Linked DNA regions of Struthio camelus. The protein of the gene in region 2 purifies or fractionates together with the protein of the main gene of each other region. This does not show direct contact. Links are inferred from orthologs where the notes say so. Each region holds a gene or a part of one and is shown on either strand. Other genes may lie near its edges.

Region 1 (7,260 bases), on a different chromosome or scaffold from region 2:
CATGAATCACAGAAGATAAAAAAAAAAAAAAAAACTTGTAATTTCTGTAAATACAGAGTAACGTAATTAAACACATCCCATAAGAAGAAACACAGTTGACCTTCGCAGATGTGTGATTTTTTTAATCACCTCCTGAACAGACACAGACATCTTATCACACGGTTTGATGGGTATTCGTGCTAGGGTAGATAAATTATTCCAGTGCTCATGTTGTTCCACATTTATCTAGAATAAAATATACCACTTTGCAAATCTAAGTATTTTGCAAATATTTTAAAAATGCAAGATGGTTTGGCTCAACTTCTGGCAAAGTCATCTGCTACACATTATTAGAAGAAAGGGAAGGTTTCATATCAGTGTACCGAGAACTTATGAAATTATGTTGTTTTAGTTCAAGACAGCAAACCAGACATATTTTGAAAAGAAACATTAGGTTGGACTCTGTTATTCATACCAATAACTATCAAAAATTTGAGCTGGTTTCAAACAAGGAAGAAGGATTATCAAAGTCAATAATGACTAATGAATACTACACTGAATCTCAATGGCTGTTATCACATTTAATCTAAGTTTAGCTGTCTATTGTGGGTGAAGGTAAGTGATTTGTACAGAGGTGTTAGTGAGAATTAATCCCCTCTATTATCCCACTTCGCAAGATAATTTGTTAAACTGAAAGCTTGGTCTAGACTTCCGATAAGACTTTGATACTTTTAATTCTTAGAATAAAAGAGGATTTGTTCTTGAATACTGCAAATCAATAGCGGGGTACAAAGCCCATGCTACCCAAAATGAAAGACAAGGGCTCCCCGGGGACATAACCAGTAGCTAGATTCTGCAAAAACAGGCCTTGACAGTATTACACCTTTTAACTGTTCTGCAGCTTTGGGTTCTGTTTTCTCACTATCAGAGAGATTACAGTCAAGCTTTTTGTATTAACTTGCACACGCATGAGTAAAGGGGCACACAGAAAAGATGCTAAATATTACAAAACACTGAATGCTAACAGTTAAAATATAAGAGCTAAAAATTTGATCTACAGATTTAAAACAATAAATCTTTCCTGAAAAATTGGAACAGTTTTTTACTCTACCAATGCTGCTATTATTATGAAGGAGATAAATATCACAGTAAAGGTCTATTTATTGAGACGTGTCCACACTACAGCTTTTTGTTTGTGTCTATGCCAGGAAGTCAGTCACTCCTTCACCCGCCAACAACAGATTTGATACACCAGAAAGCACTACACTTGAGAGAAAGAATTAGTAATATTGTTCTCTTCCATAAACCCTAACCACCTCTGCAGGGCTTAGGTTTCCATTCTGCAGCGCTCTGGAGGGTGCCTTCAAACTCTGACACTGAGCAAGCTTTAAACTGCAGCTACAAGGCAACTGCTTTCTAAGCTACTCCACAAACTAGTCTTGTACATTTGACAACTGATACTGTCAACGCGCCGGCAGCAATCCTAACCTGAATAATGCAAAAAACTAAAGCCTATGCCCTAGCCAGCCAATCTGAAAGCACAGTTCACATAAGCCATGTTCTCAGACTTCTCTTTACATCAGTCGAGAACATTAATAACTGAACATCCACCCAGCAATTTCTTCTCCTGATTTCACTGAAAGACCTCAGTAAGATCAGGGAAGCACTTCTGAAGGGTGCAGATTACTGCAAGCGACGGTCAGCAGAAGGCAGCCACAGGAAGACCCAGAAGCCTTGTCTGATACTATGGAACTCTCTCATACCAGAAACACTGTGCAAATTTGTGTTATGACCAAGAGCCACCGCAAATGAGGCCAGAACTGCACAGGTGGAAGCCTTAACCAAAGCCACAGAAACGCTGTGAACAACTTGGGAAGCTCAAGCTCTATAACCTACCGACTGTGAAGAGGAGTAGCAGACAAACACAGCTCTTCTAAATAACAGACTCTACATTGTCCACACTTTGCTTCATGCAACCACTGTTGCTACGGGGTTAAAAAGGCCACCAGGACACCAATGGGAACTGCTGCTTAGCCCACTCTCAGAGCACCTGACAGCACACTCAACGATCAGCTGCTCTGATCACATCACAATCATTTCCTCTAAACTTCAATGGAAAAAAAAAAGCAAGAAAAATCGTTGCAAGTAGATTTTTATGCAGACACACAACACACACCCTTAGCAGCAGCAAACACTTTTATTCACTACTACTTTCAGTAGCCTCAGGGGAGGTTCACCCCCTCAGTAAGAAAAGCGAACAGTTTTGTCAAGTTTAGGGAACTGGAAAAACTCCACAAATTAGACAAGCACTGGGTCTGGAAGAGCGAGAAAGCAGCCTTGTGTCTGGGCAGGCGAAGCACTTTGCTCAACAGCGGAGGCCGGTAGAGCCTTTCAGCGGCCTGGCGCGGCCTCGCCCCTAGGCACGTTTCACGCACAGCCAAGCGAACTGGGCCACCTCCTCCGTTTTCCAGCTCCGCCGAAAGCGGCAGCAGGCGCTCAGGAGGGCGTGAACACACCCCTGCGGGAAGGCAGCTGCCCCTCGAGCGCGCACACGGGCCCGCGCGGTCCCGGCGGGCACCCCGCGCCTCCTCCCCCTCAGGCGGCAAAGGGCGCGGCAGCCCACGCGCACCCGGCACGCGGCCGCTAACGGACTTTAACGGCCGGGCCACCGCGCTGAAGGGCGGCTGGGGAGGGAGGGGGGGCATGGGGGGGGAGATGACCTCCCTAAGCCTACCGACTGCCTGACTGACAGACAGTGACACATCTAATTCCTCCCCCGCCCCCCAACCTGACTGACTGACGCCCCCGGCGCCCGAGGGCCAGCTCAGGAAGACCAGCAGGGGCCCTCCCGCGGCTCTTCCCTTACCCGCGAGCCCCAGGGCAGCCTGCAGCGGCAGCAAGGGGTCTGAGACGTGGCGGCCCCCCCGCCCCAGGCAGCCCGCGGCGGCAACGCCGCCGCCGCCCCGCAGCAGCCCCCGCACCGCGCCCGCAGCCGCCGTCATGGCCGCCAACGCACGCCCCGCACGGCGGCGGGCGGAGGACGCGCCTCACTGCGCACGCGCCGCCCGCCGTAGTGGGGGAGAGGCAGGCCACGCGCATGCGCGCCCCCGCCCACCGTGGGCCCGCCGGGAAGGGGCGCGCGTGCGCTCTCGCTGCTCGCTGCTGGCGGCGGCCCGGGGAGGGGCGGGGCCGCGCGGCAGGGGGTGCCCCGCCCCCCGCGGCCGTTGCCGCCTTCCCGCGGCCGTTAGGGCTGGTGTTGAGGAGGGAAAGCTAAAATTTACCCCAAACGCGTCATGGGCGTTGTTGCCTTAGAGGCGATGTGTTCCCGAGGGGTGATCGTCGGCAGAGGCCTCTCTGTTTAAGGGCTCGTAAGACCCAGTCTAAAAAAGTCGAGTATTTCAGGTATTCTCTAGATACGTGGGCCTAAGACATTTTGTTGCATGTAACTACGTGGCTCTTACAGGCGCGGCCAGAAAGGATCGTTCAAGACCCGTTCCTCCCTCCCTCGGTCGCCCGTCTGGCAGCGTTAGCGCTTAACAATTTCTCCACCTACCGGCCCTTCTAAGTAACTGATCCTCAGCTACCGTTTCCCCCGCCAGTACTCGTCCATGCAAATAAAGGCCAAGGTTGCCAAAACATGGTTTTACTTCGAACAGCTCTTGACCCCCTGTACCTTTTATATACCGGCCACGGCGGGCACCCGAAAAGAAAGGAAATAACGCTAAGAGAAGTCAGCGCCCACAGGGCCAAGGGTGTTCCCTCATGGAAGTGCCAGCCATGTCCCTGCGTGAAAGGGCCAGCAACGCACCTACCAACCCACCAGCGGTGGAAGCTGCTGGATACAGCCCCGGTGTTTTGTAAATGCCCCATCCCGGCATGCTCGAAGGTAAAGGAGGCACCCGACTGCCCCGCAGGCAAGCTTGCTGGGCTCGCTGGCTGATCGTGGGAGATGGAGCCTACCGCTCTTGGCTTAACATGGTACATGGCAAAACTGCGTAGGTTACTCCGTCTTGATGTGCACCAGTGCAAAACCCACCCCTCTGCGTGTGTGTGATGGCAACGGAAATCCTCCTGAAGGAGGCACAAACTGCATGGGCTCCTATGAGGAGGGCGCTGCTATCGCCTGCCGTCAGGGTCACAATCAAAACAAAATATTAGCCAAACTGTGAAAATCGTGAGATACAGCAATTTCTATTTTGTAGTTAAACAAAAAGTTTCCAGGGCTGTTGATTTACAATTTTCAAACTGGGTGGATTGTAAAAATCGGTAAGTTATGTATATGCAATAAACAGACTATGCTCCTAATTTCACTGCCATTCCTGAAGTATTATTTTTTGTTGCTCTTTTCTGAGGAAAAAAAAGGAATGGCTAGAATAATTATTACTGAGAAAGACAAAACTGCTTACACAAGTGTATGCAAAATTGTTTAAAAGAAAAGCAGAAAAATCTCAAAATGAAGAATGAGGTGAATATTTAAAACACACGTATTTTTAAAAACATTTACTGAAATGCCTTCATTGCATCATGCAGGATACAAAAATCATGATTAGAAAACCATACTTATAAGTAAAATCAAGATACATCAGGGAACAATAATAATTATATAAACCAAAGCAATTAATTTCTGATAGTGCTTTAAATCGTTAGATTACAAGCGTCTTATGGTGATCTGCACAGATGATAACTGTCCCTTCTTTCATGATTCAAGTCACAAGTGGTGTACATCATGCTAGACCAACCATGTCACCTGTGTATACCACAAAAAATTAATACCCGTTCATTACAGATACAGGGTTTTAAAAGTACAATAAAAATACTGTCAGCCTATTTTGTTTTCTGCTTTCAGTTTTTAATTTGCTCCATCAAAAGCCATTAACTTTTCATTAAGGGAAAATGTCTGATGGGCTTGCTTTACTTACACAAACCACATAGCACATACAACTCTTACTTACTGGAATGAGGACCTCGTTAAAGTCGTAATATATGAGACTTTCTTGAAATTCAGTTCCATTAAATACTTCTATGTTTTTGCAACATTTGTCAAGGACCTGAAAGTAGTTTTAAAATGGGGGACCACTGTATCTTCAGATTTCAGTTACTTAAAACTTTGGGTTTTTTCTTTTTTTTTTTTTTTTTTATACACTGCTTAGTGTAAACTCTTAGAACTTGCCTCTTTATTTGCATTCTATGTGACAGCATTACTTTGTACAGACATGCATATAAAAAACAAATATTCTAGACTGAAATCTTGGCTTCAGTGAATTTTGACACGGGCCTCACAGGGACCAGTATCTGAGACATCTGAGTAGAGCGTTCACTTGGCACACAGTAAGATTAGAACCATTCTGGGACCTGACTACATCAAAAGAAAATTGGTGTAAGATCCAGCGCAATTTACTCAACAAGGCAGTTTAAGAAAACACCTCCTTACGATAAAGTTTCCTTCTAATGTCAGTTTCCTTTTTTTTTTTTTTTTTTAAATATCACCTTGTGGAAAAAAATCCATCTTTATAAAGCTATCCGCTTTTTTTTTTTTTTTGTTGAGCTCCACAGATGCAGACTTTAAATATCCAAAATATCCAGTTGGTGCAACTGGGTTATTTGACTATACAGAATATTTTAACAATTTAATTATGTTAAAAGTCAGGAAGAGTTTTGGCACTGTCCTATTACAGAAAGCTAAAGTACAACTAACAATTTGAAAAAGAAAAACATTATGATAGGGGAACTGTATAACTCTTTGGCTCTGTTGTAATGCTTAACTACTAAGGCAAGTGTGTGTACCTTAGGTTTCCTTTTTTTTTTCTTTTTGTTTTATAAAATACTTGACTAAAAGAGTTTTAAAAAGTCAGCTAATCATCTATAAATGTCAAATGTTGCATATTAAAATATATGCTATTATACCTTTTTGTTCCATTACTAGAATTGTTGCATACAGATGAGAACACGCACATTTGTAAACTGTTTAGTATGAGTTTATGAAGACATTCTCTGTATAGGAGAATTTTTACAAAACTATCATTGAATTAAGATGCTGTCATTCAAACTGCCTGATTATCCATTTCAGAGCACTATGACTGAACAGCTTTAGCTCTTTTGCTCCTATACAGATCAACTAAAATAAGCAACAGGTCCTCCTTTTCAGTGCATTTATAAAACCCTTTCATTCTGACGTTTTGGGTGCACATCATAAGGAGGGTATTTCTGAGCATTCACCAGCAATGTATGTGGCTTTTCGGATTTTACTACATATGGCTAACTTCATATGTTAGGTTATTGCAATATGCCCTATTGCCCCATTTTATTATAACATGAAGTGGGTGTAGCCTTCTGCGCCTGTAACAATAACATCCATCCATATTCTCATGGCTTCTGGCGTTGGAGCAACCATATAGTATATCCGGTCATGTGTCTTAACACTGAAAGTGAGTAGTGGATTGGGACTCTAAAATAAAACAAAAAGAAGAAAGAAGGATATCAAAAGAATGAAAATGGTGCCAATGAATTGGCACCATAAGTACAATTATTTACAGGGAGATTTAGCACAGGGTTAAGGAGAAAGATGCAATGCAAAATGCTGAGCACTGCCATCCTACGTTGCAGTCCTGGAAGCAGAGATCTGTTTAAAGTGCTTGCATCCAGCACAAACACTTTTTTATGACATATTTCCACTCTTGATTATTATACAGCAGTACAGGGCTCCCAACAGTTGCTTCATGTACAAACAACGAATTCCCTAGGTATCCCATCCAGAGGCCAAAAGCACTATGGCTGAAACAAGTCCAGGTGCCAAGGATAAGTTCAGAGAGTTCACAGCTCTTCTAAAGGATAGATGTGAGGCAAGGGGATGCCATCAGCTGCAGGTACCAGTTAACTCCCTCCCTATGATAGGCTCACACTGCCATCTCTTGATTTGCCAAAGCCACTGAATTCAGTGGTCTAGCCAAGAGTAGGGCTAACGAATTCCTCCAGCAGATCCCATGAGGAACTATCACTTGGCACACAGACACTCACTCTCTCTCTCCTCTATCTCTCTATTTGCACTGATATAAAAGAATAATGCTTATCAGTGGTCTGGCTTCATCTTTTTCCTCCACCCTGTTCATGTGTTAGGTTTTTTATATTGTCAACTCTCCCTTTGTATTTACAAAGGCTACTACTGCACTTTGGGTGCCATACAATACTCAGTTTTAAAACAACAGTAACAAACATTACCTTATATGCATTCTTTAGATGATCATAATAGACTTCTTCAATAGCTTGAAAATATATTACACCTTT
Region 2 (7,320 bases):
ATAACGCAGATCTGAAGCGAGTACTTTTTGGGAATATTTCAGTTTTAAGGACTTCCATACTTCTAACACAAACCAAGTATCTGATCCAGGTTGGAGGAACAAAACAAAACATCATCCCTTAACCCCCCCCCAACCCAAAACTCCAAAAACACCCCCTGCAAAAACCCATTCCTATATCAAGACAACTTACTCTAACCCCATAACTAATCTAAAATTAAGACTTAAAGCATGTTAAAAGGTGAGTAAAAGAAAATGATTAAGAAAACTAAAGACAAACCAGGCTCCTCTAAACATCTATCAAAGTACAATCATTGCTGCAGCTTTATATCTTGCGGGTTTTTTTTTTAAAAACATACTTGAAGATGTTTGCATTGACAATGTACAGTTACCAAAACCTCACACTCACCAACAGCTTATTAGAAGATAGCTATTTCCATTTCTAAAGGAAAGTGCAACTTCAAAGAACACACACTCATATACCTGCTTCTCATTTTTAACAAAACCAAGCTTAGTGTTTTTTCTCACTTTTTCTATTCATCAGCAAAAATCCAAGCGCGGAAATAACACGATTTTCCCCACTACAAACAAAATCTAATGTCCACTAGAAAAATTTCAAAATATAACCTCTATGAGGAACACATTTAAAAAGAAATCCATTTGCAAAATTCTTCTTTATTAAAACACTACTTCAAGACCAAAATATTTTTTACTAAATATAACCATTTATAACAGCAGGTTGTAGACTTTAAGAATTAACACTGAACAGTTAAAGAACAACATATCATACCATTTTTGTGGTTTTAACCAGTGCAATCTAAGAAGTTTATATCCTATCATCATATTTTAAATTGCATACTATGGATAGCTATCACAGCAGCAATTTACAGAGTACATTTTCCAATAAAACCACAAACAAAAACTTTATTAACCCTCATTTTACTCACTTATTATCATTTACCTCATTATCTGCTTACAAATCCAGCAACCCCACCTTCTAATAAAAAAAAGATAAAATAAAATAATAAAAAAGGCAAGCAGCATTCTAATCAAAAAAGAACCAAGAGGATTGGTTATACCTTTACTATAGAAGAAGAAAAAAAGTGTTAGAGGATTCAGGCAAGACTGTTCTTAGCTAAGCAAGCACACATATACACATACACACTAACAAAACGCAAAATACTGTAGCTACACACTGAACATCCATCATACTTGCTTTAGTCCACCACCAAGCTACCAACCCACCATCTAGAAGTTAATAATATTACTCCCAAGCACTGAATTCTTCTAGCACATATCTTTATCTAATCTTCAAACGTTTTGAAAGCTGTCTCCACTTCTTTAAATAAATAATTTTCACAGCTCTAGGAAAATGAAGATCATTTATAGAGACAGATGCTAAATTTAGTTACTAACATGGCAAAACTTTATCATTTAATGAGACAAGGCAGAGCTTCTATTAAATATTCAATATTAGCCTAACTACCTCATCTTTCAGTAAGAATAGGTAGAAAAACAAACAACTTCCTTTATATCACGCTCTCTTCTTTCTACATAAATTCCCTCTTCACTTTCAGCTTTCTCTCCATTCTTCTCACTGCTCTTTTTGATTAATCCTCAACTATCCACTTAACTCACCCATAGCAAAGAACACAGAAGAACAAGGGCAAACATAAAATATATTTGTATTATGACCTCTCTTAATGCTACAAAATATGCTACATCAGCATTCATTTCCTCTTTTGAAATACAAAATTCATTAGGAAAAAAAAAAAAAAAAAGTTCTCGATCTTCTCGATCTACCAAAATATAAAGTACACCTAAGCAAGACCACAAGAACTAGGTAAACTTTTTTTCTTCCCAAACCCAACATCACAGCCTGATTACATACATGAGTTTCTTCTCCACCTGCCATGCAAAACCTCCACCTCCATTATACTGAACAAACCTTCCCACTCCAGTTCAATTCTCCTGGATGCCAGGCCACCCTCCCTGCACCACCTCCCCTCAAGCACTGCTCTCCCTACATATCATGTCCCATAATCCCTTTTCCTCCTCCCCATCCTAAGAAACTTAGGGGTACTCCCCTCAAAGGGGGCACATCATGCCAAGCCTCCTTTCCCCTCCTGTGCCCCTTCTCACCAAACTATTCACAACTCACAGCTTTGACACTGACCTCCCCCCCAACACTCCTACACATCTTGCACCCTCCTCCTTCCTTCCCCCCCCCCCAAACCCACCCCTTACAGATTTCCCCCAGGCCCACCCACGTCCTTCCTCCACCCCCTACAGGGCCAATCCTAAGAGAAGGGGCACCCCACACACCTGGGTAGGGCCTCCTCACCTCTCTCTCTCTTCCCATACTTCAAGTTGTGAAGGAAGAGGAACAAAAATAAACAACTCTCCTGTCTTCTCCTCCTCCTCTCTATCATCCACCTCGGACACGCTCCTTGTGCGGGGTGGAGCAAGGCCCGAGCCACAAGCCAGTGAGGGGTGGCAGAGGCCGGGCCCACCTCAAACCACAGTAGGCCCCCCCGCCTTGGCAACCGCAGGCCTGGTGTGCGCGCTTAGTGGCGATAGAGAAAGGGCTCGGGCCTGCCCGTAACGGACACGGCTGCCACCTCCCCTCCCATGACACTGCAAAGCGGGGCCTGGCCGCCGCCTTCCTCCTCCCACCATGGCCACTTTCCGCCACCAGCTCCCTAGGCCCCACTCTCATTAGCGGCGACGCCGCCATGTTGACCCCATCTCACACAGTGATATGCCAGGCCCTAACACCGGACCAGGCCCAAAGGCCCCTCCCCCCCGCGGCCTTAAATCTCTCACCTTCATGTCGGGACATCCTAGTTCAGAGGCTGCAGCCGAAGCCCGTCCCCAGGCTCCTGCTGGGCTGTTCAGGCGATGCTCCAGCCTGGGCCCCTCCCGCCGTACGCACTAAGCCCCAGGCGCGAAACGAGCAAGCAATAGAAAGGGGGGGGGGGGAGCAAAAAGGAATCTACTCCAACAGCCCCAGCCTGCCTCACTTTTTCTCCCTCCCTCTGGGGGGCGGATCCAGCAGCAACGACTTCCTAGGCACCCTGATACGGTGGCTCTTAAGCCCCGCCGGCTCCTAGTGCCGCCTTCCTCTTCCGCCGCTTTCCTCTACACCCCCCCTTTCTTCTTCTTCCTGAGTCCCCACCTCTGTTTCTTCTCCTGCTGCTATAGAAAGAACACTAACTCCTTCTTGTGCTTCTTAGCTCTAACCCCCACGTCGGCTCAAGACCTCGCGATTCCTTTCTTTCTCCACCCATTTTTTTCCCCCGTTCCTTTTCCGCCCAGTAGCTGCTTCATGCAGGAAGGAAGAGGAAGTACACAGCCAAGGGAAAGGGGGACCGTCACCACCCAACACGGAGAGCGCCGCGGAGCCGAGCGGAGCCCCCATAAACTGGATGGTGGCCCTTCCCTGTCCCTCCAAACTGGAAGAGACTGCTGTCTCTAGGCATTCTCCTAAGACGCAGCCTCCTCCACCATTCCAGCCTGTGACAGTTGCCCGCGTGTTGCGGAAGGGGGAGGGGACGAGTCCCCGATTGTTGTAGTAGACCATGCTGCTGTAGCGATGGGGCTGCACCTTTGCGGGTGCACGGAGACCTCCCTCCTCGTTCCCTACTGAGGAGGCTAGGGAGTGAGGAGTGGCAGCAGCCTTGAGGGAGGAGAGTTCAGCCCGGTGGTTCGCGATACTTCCTATTATCACTCCTCCTCAGTGTGGCTTGCAAAACCCCCTCTAATTCGGGGAGGTGCAGCAAGCAGCACTGAGTGTGACATGTGCCTAATGCTTCCTGTCCTGTCCCGGATGCCTGACTGTATTATACAGAACCTTATACAGAATGATGAAGAAGCAAAAAGTCTGTGACTTGCAGAATTCTGTTTGCCTTCCCTGCAATTTTTTGTCTTTTGCAGAAAAAGGCATTGGTCTGGAGAAGAAACTGTAAAGGTGAAACACCTATCAAACAATCCACCTCAGTCAAGCTCCTGCCTGAGCCTTGCAGCCTGTTTGCCTACTAGGCCGGGCAGCAAAATAAGCCCTGGTGTCACAGGAGGGTGGAGAATCATTAGTCAGCTATTTATTTTAAAAAGTACCTTTCCCCATATTTTCTTCTGACTCAGTCTCCCCCACCTTTCCCATCCAAGCTGTCCCCACCTGTCTTCATTTTCTTCTACCCCTGTGTTTTCATCTCTTATTCTGCTCCTGTCCCTCTGTTTTCTTTATCACCACCAATCCAACCCCCTCATGCTCTCCATCATCTTCCTTTTTTTTCTTTTGCCTATTAAGGGCTCAGTCTTCCTCTCTCCTTGTCCTCTTCTCCCCAATTACATCTTTCTCTGAATAGCTTTACAACCTTTCCTCAGTTTCCCTTCTGTACCTCACATCATGCTACAACCTCAGATGTCTTACTCCCACAGTTCTTGTACCCTTGTTCTCCTTCTCATCAGTCTGGAAGGCCACAAGAACCCACAGGCCAGAAGGACCCAAACACCAAGCTGCAAAGATAAGGCAAGAGCAAACACTAATGATTGGCAGGATGAGGTGCCCCATTTCATTCTTTGCACTGCATCCCATGCTAATCATATTATGCCTCTGCCTCTCCCCCCCATGTGTACACACTGCTTTCCTCTATGCTTTGTCTAGTCCTGCTTGCCTTCCATCACTTCTCTTCCATCTCTTGCAGTTTCTTAACCCCGATGCCTAGTGAGGGAATAACCTAGGCCCAGTCTCTTTGAAAACAGCAGTGGGTGGTGACTATTTTCATTAGCAGCAGCAGCTATATCTACACATGGAGGAGTTGTAAGGGAAATTGAGGGCCGTTTTGAGTGAGGGCAGCCAGTAGCTTTGCTACCGTTGAAAGCAATAGGAGGGCATCATTGTGGAGGGCAAAAAGTTTGCAAGAAACATGCAATAGATAAGAAACTAAAGAGAAATCCACAACTATGAGAAAACTCACTATAAAACTGTGAAAGGGGTAGATCCAGGATAGTGCTGGAGGCCAAAGCTTTGCATGTCTCTGCTGGTGTTACATAGCAACAGTGCACAGAGTGGGACAATGTGTAATGCAGCATGTCCTACTGCTTATTTTCAGCACTACCATTTTTAAATGCAAATGGTAGCTGTCTCATCCAGAGGCAAAATACAAATCATCAACAGTTCTTGGTTGATGCTCCTCCTCAGTCCTTAGAAAGGCTCTGTAGCAAGCTGTCTCAGAACTTATTGCCTCAGGTGATCAGCAATATCTTGTCTTCGTGTGAGGCTGTGGTTCCTGGTATATGTAACTATGCCCCCACTTTGAGCACTACACTACTATTTTGACCTATGCTTTGTTTCATCATATTCCTGGCAGACTGGCTTCCCATGAGAGCTCCTCTGCATATCTGGTTAGACAAAAAAAAACAGTCCTGCAGCCCAGGCATTTCACTGGGACTCAGAAGATTTGGATTCAGTTCTTGTTTCTGTCCTTGCAAGACCTTGGGCTAATCATCTCATCTCTCTGTGCTTCAGTTGTTAAATCCACGTCCAGCACACACTGGTGAGCACAGCTCCTTAGCAGCTCTGATGCCTGGGGCAGCCAAGCAGAATTTGTAGCCTCTTTTCCAGAGCACAGCTAACAGAGGCAGCAGTTTGCGCAGCAGCGTCTGGGCTCTGCTTAGAACCTCTGAGAACCTTGTTGGAGGTTGTGGGGGCTTTCTGGGGACCCTCTGAGGAACTAGATGGTGCTTACTGCTGACAGGGAAGAGCTAGGCAAGGACAACTGCAGGAGGCCTTAACTTCTCCTGGGAAGCTCTAGCTAGGTGTAGCTGCTGCTAACAAGCTCTGTTGGTTGCCCCTGATCAGAGGGAGTTGGGGCCTTTGTTCCAGCTGGCCCTGTGAGTCAGTGCTAGGCAGAGGCCTATATAAGAGCCAGGCCTAGAGTGCAGTGAGCAGATGCAGCAGTTTATGCAGAAGGGTGTAAAGAAGGTGCCTTCATCTCCAGTCATAGTAGCATACATTTCCTCAGATATGGTTATGATATGCTATGGAGCACATTTCCCCAGTAGCTGCTGGAGTTGCTGTGTTTGCCATGTCAGAGGCTTCTACCCAGACAGACCTTTTGACAGTGGATGCAGCTCTGCAGGTCTCAGGCTACAGGGAGTGCCTGGAGGCTCTCTGTGAGGCTGGGGCTGACAGTCAGCTCTCCTGCAGAAGGTATGCTGTTGTTGATGAGTTGTGTCACCAGGTAAAGGAGTTATGGGAGGAAGTCAGCAGGCTGCGTAGCATCCGTGAAGATGAGCGAGAGATAGATAGGATATTCTCAGAGACCTTACAGCTTCAGGAGTCTCAATCCCCCACAGCAGTGGAGGTGCAGGTGGGCTCTGTGCCATGTGGAACGGTAAGTCATAAGTCTGTAGGAGATGAAGGCTGCAAACTGGTCACCCCTTGTATGAGGAGAGAGGCTCTTGCTCCTCCTGAAGACTTGCAGTTGATGAACAGGTTCAGTGCCTTCCAAGCTGAGGAGGAGCTGGGTATGGCTTCAAGTGACCAGGCTGACAGATCCTATGCCACACATGAACACCTGGAAGAAGCGTAGAGTGGGTGATGTGGGTGACTCCCTGCTGCAGGGGACAGAAGCACCTGTCTGCTGACCTGACCTCTTGTCTAGAGAGGTTTGCTGCCTGCCAGGGGCTCAAATCTGAGATGTCATGGGAAGACTGCCGAGGCTTGTCTACACATCCAACTATTACCCTCTGCTGCTCTTTCACGTGAGCACCAAGGATATTGCCAAGGGCAACTTGGAAAGTATTAAATGTGACTATAGAGCTCTGGGGGTGGAGGTCAGGGGTCTGGGGGCCTTGGTCATTTTTTTCCTCAATCTTGCCAGCGAGGGGGAAGGATGGGAGGAGGAGTAGATGGATTCTCCAAGTAAACAACTGGCTGCGCAGCTGGTGTTGGCACCAGGGTTTTGGTTTCTATGACCACGGGACTGTGTTTGAAGATCAACAACTGAGTGGGAGAGATGGGACCCACCTCACCAAATGGGGCATATGCATCTCCGCCAACAGGCTGGCCAACCTGGTAAGGAGGGCTTTAAACTAGGAGAGATGGGGGAAGGGGAGAGTTATAGAGACCATGCAGTCAGCGAAACAGGGCTCAAGCAGGGATACCTCCAGCAAGTGCATGCAGGAAAGGAAGTACCTACAAGAAAAGACTCTGGGGAAACCTCTTGTTGCCTTTCTGGGAAATCATCATGCTTGAGTACCTCTCTGAAGTGTCTGTACACAAATGCATGCAGGATGGGGAATAAACAGGAAGAATTA

The links.
Region 1: the proteins of KCMF1 (region 2) and ABHD10 purify together in Homo sapiens (affinity purification with mass spectrometry; 3 studies listed by BioGRID and IntAct, counting the BioPlex papers as one, with this or other methods). This does not show direct contact. The link is inferred for Struthio camelus from reciprocal best matches to the Homo sapiens genes KCMF1 and ABHD10.

The regions. Positions count from the first base shown.
Region 1 is NC_090942.1:102,380,877-102,388,136, reverse strand, and holds the start of ABHD10 (palmitoyl-protein thioesterase ABHD10, mitochondrial), read right to left. Parts: upstream 3,033-7,260; 5' UTR 2,982-3,032; coding exon 2,846-2,981; intron 1-2,845. Other genes in the region: PHLDB2 (pleckstrin homology-like domain family B member 2), read right to left, coding at 6,284-6,424, 7,195-7,260. UniProt on the Homo sapiens protein: Acts as an acyl-protein thioesterase that hydrolyzes fatty acids from acylated residues in proteins.
Region 2 is NC_090981.1:8,344,766-8,352,085, reverse strand, and holds the start of KCMF1 (E3 ubiquitin-protein ligase KCMF1), read right to left. Parts: upstream 3,043-7,320; 5' UTR 2,840-3,042; coding exon 2,824-2,839; intron 1-2,823. UniProt on the Homo sapiens protein: E3 ubiquitin-protein ligase which accepts ubiquitin from an E2 ubiquitin-conjugating enzyme and then transfers it to targeted substrates, promoting their degradation by the proteasome.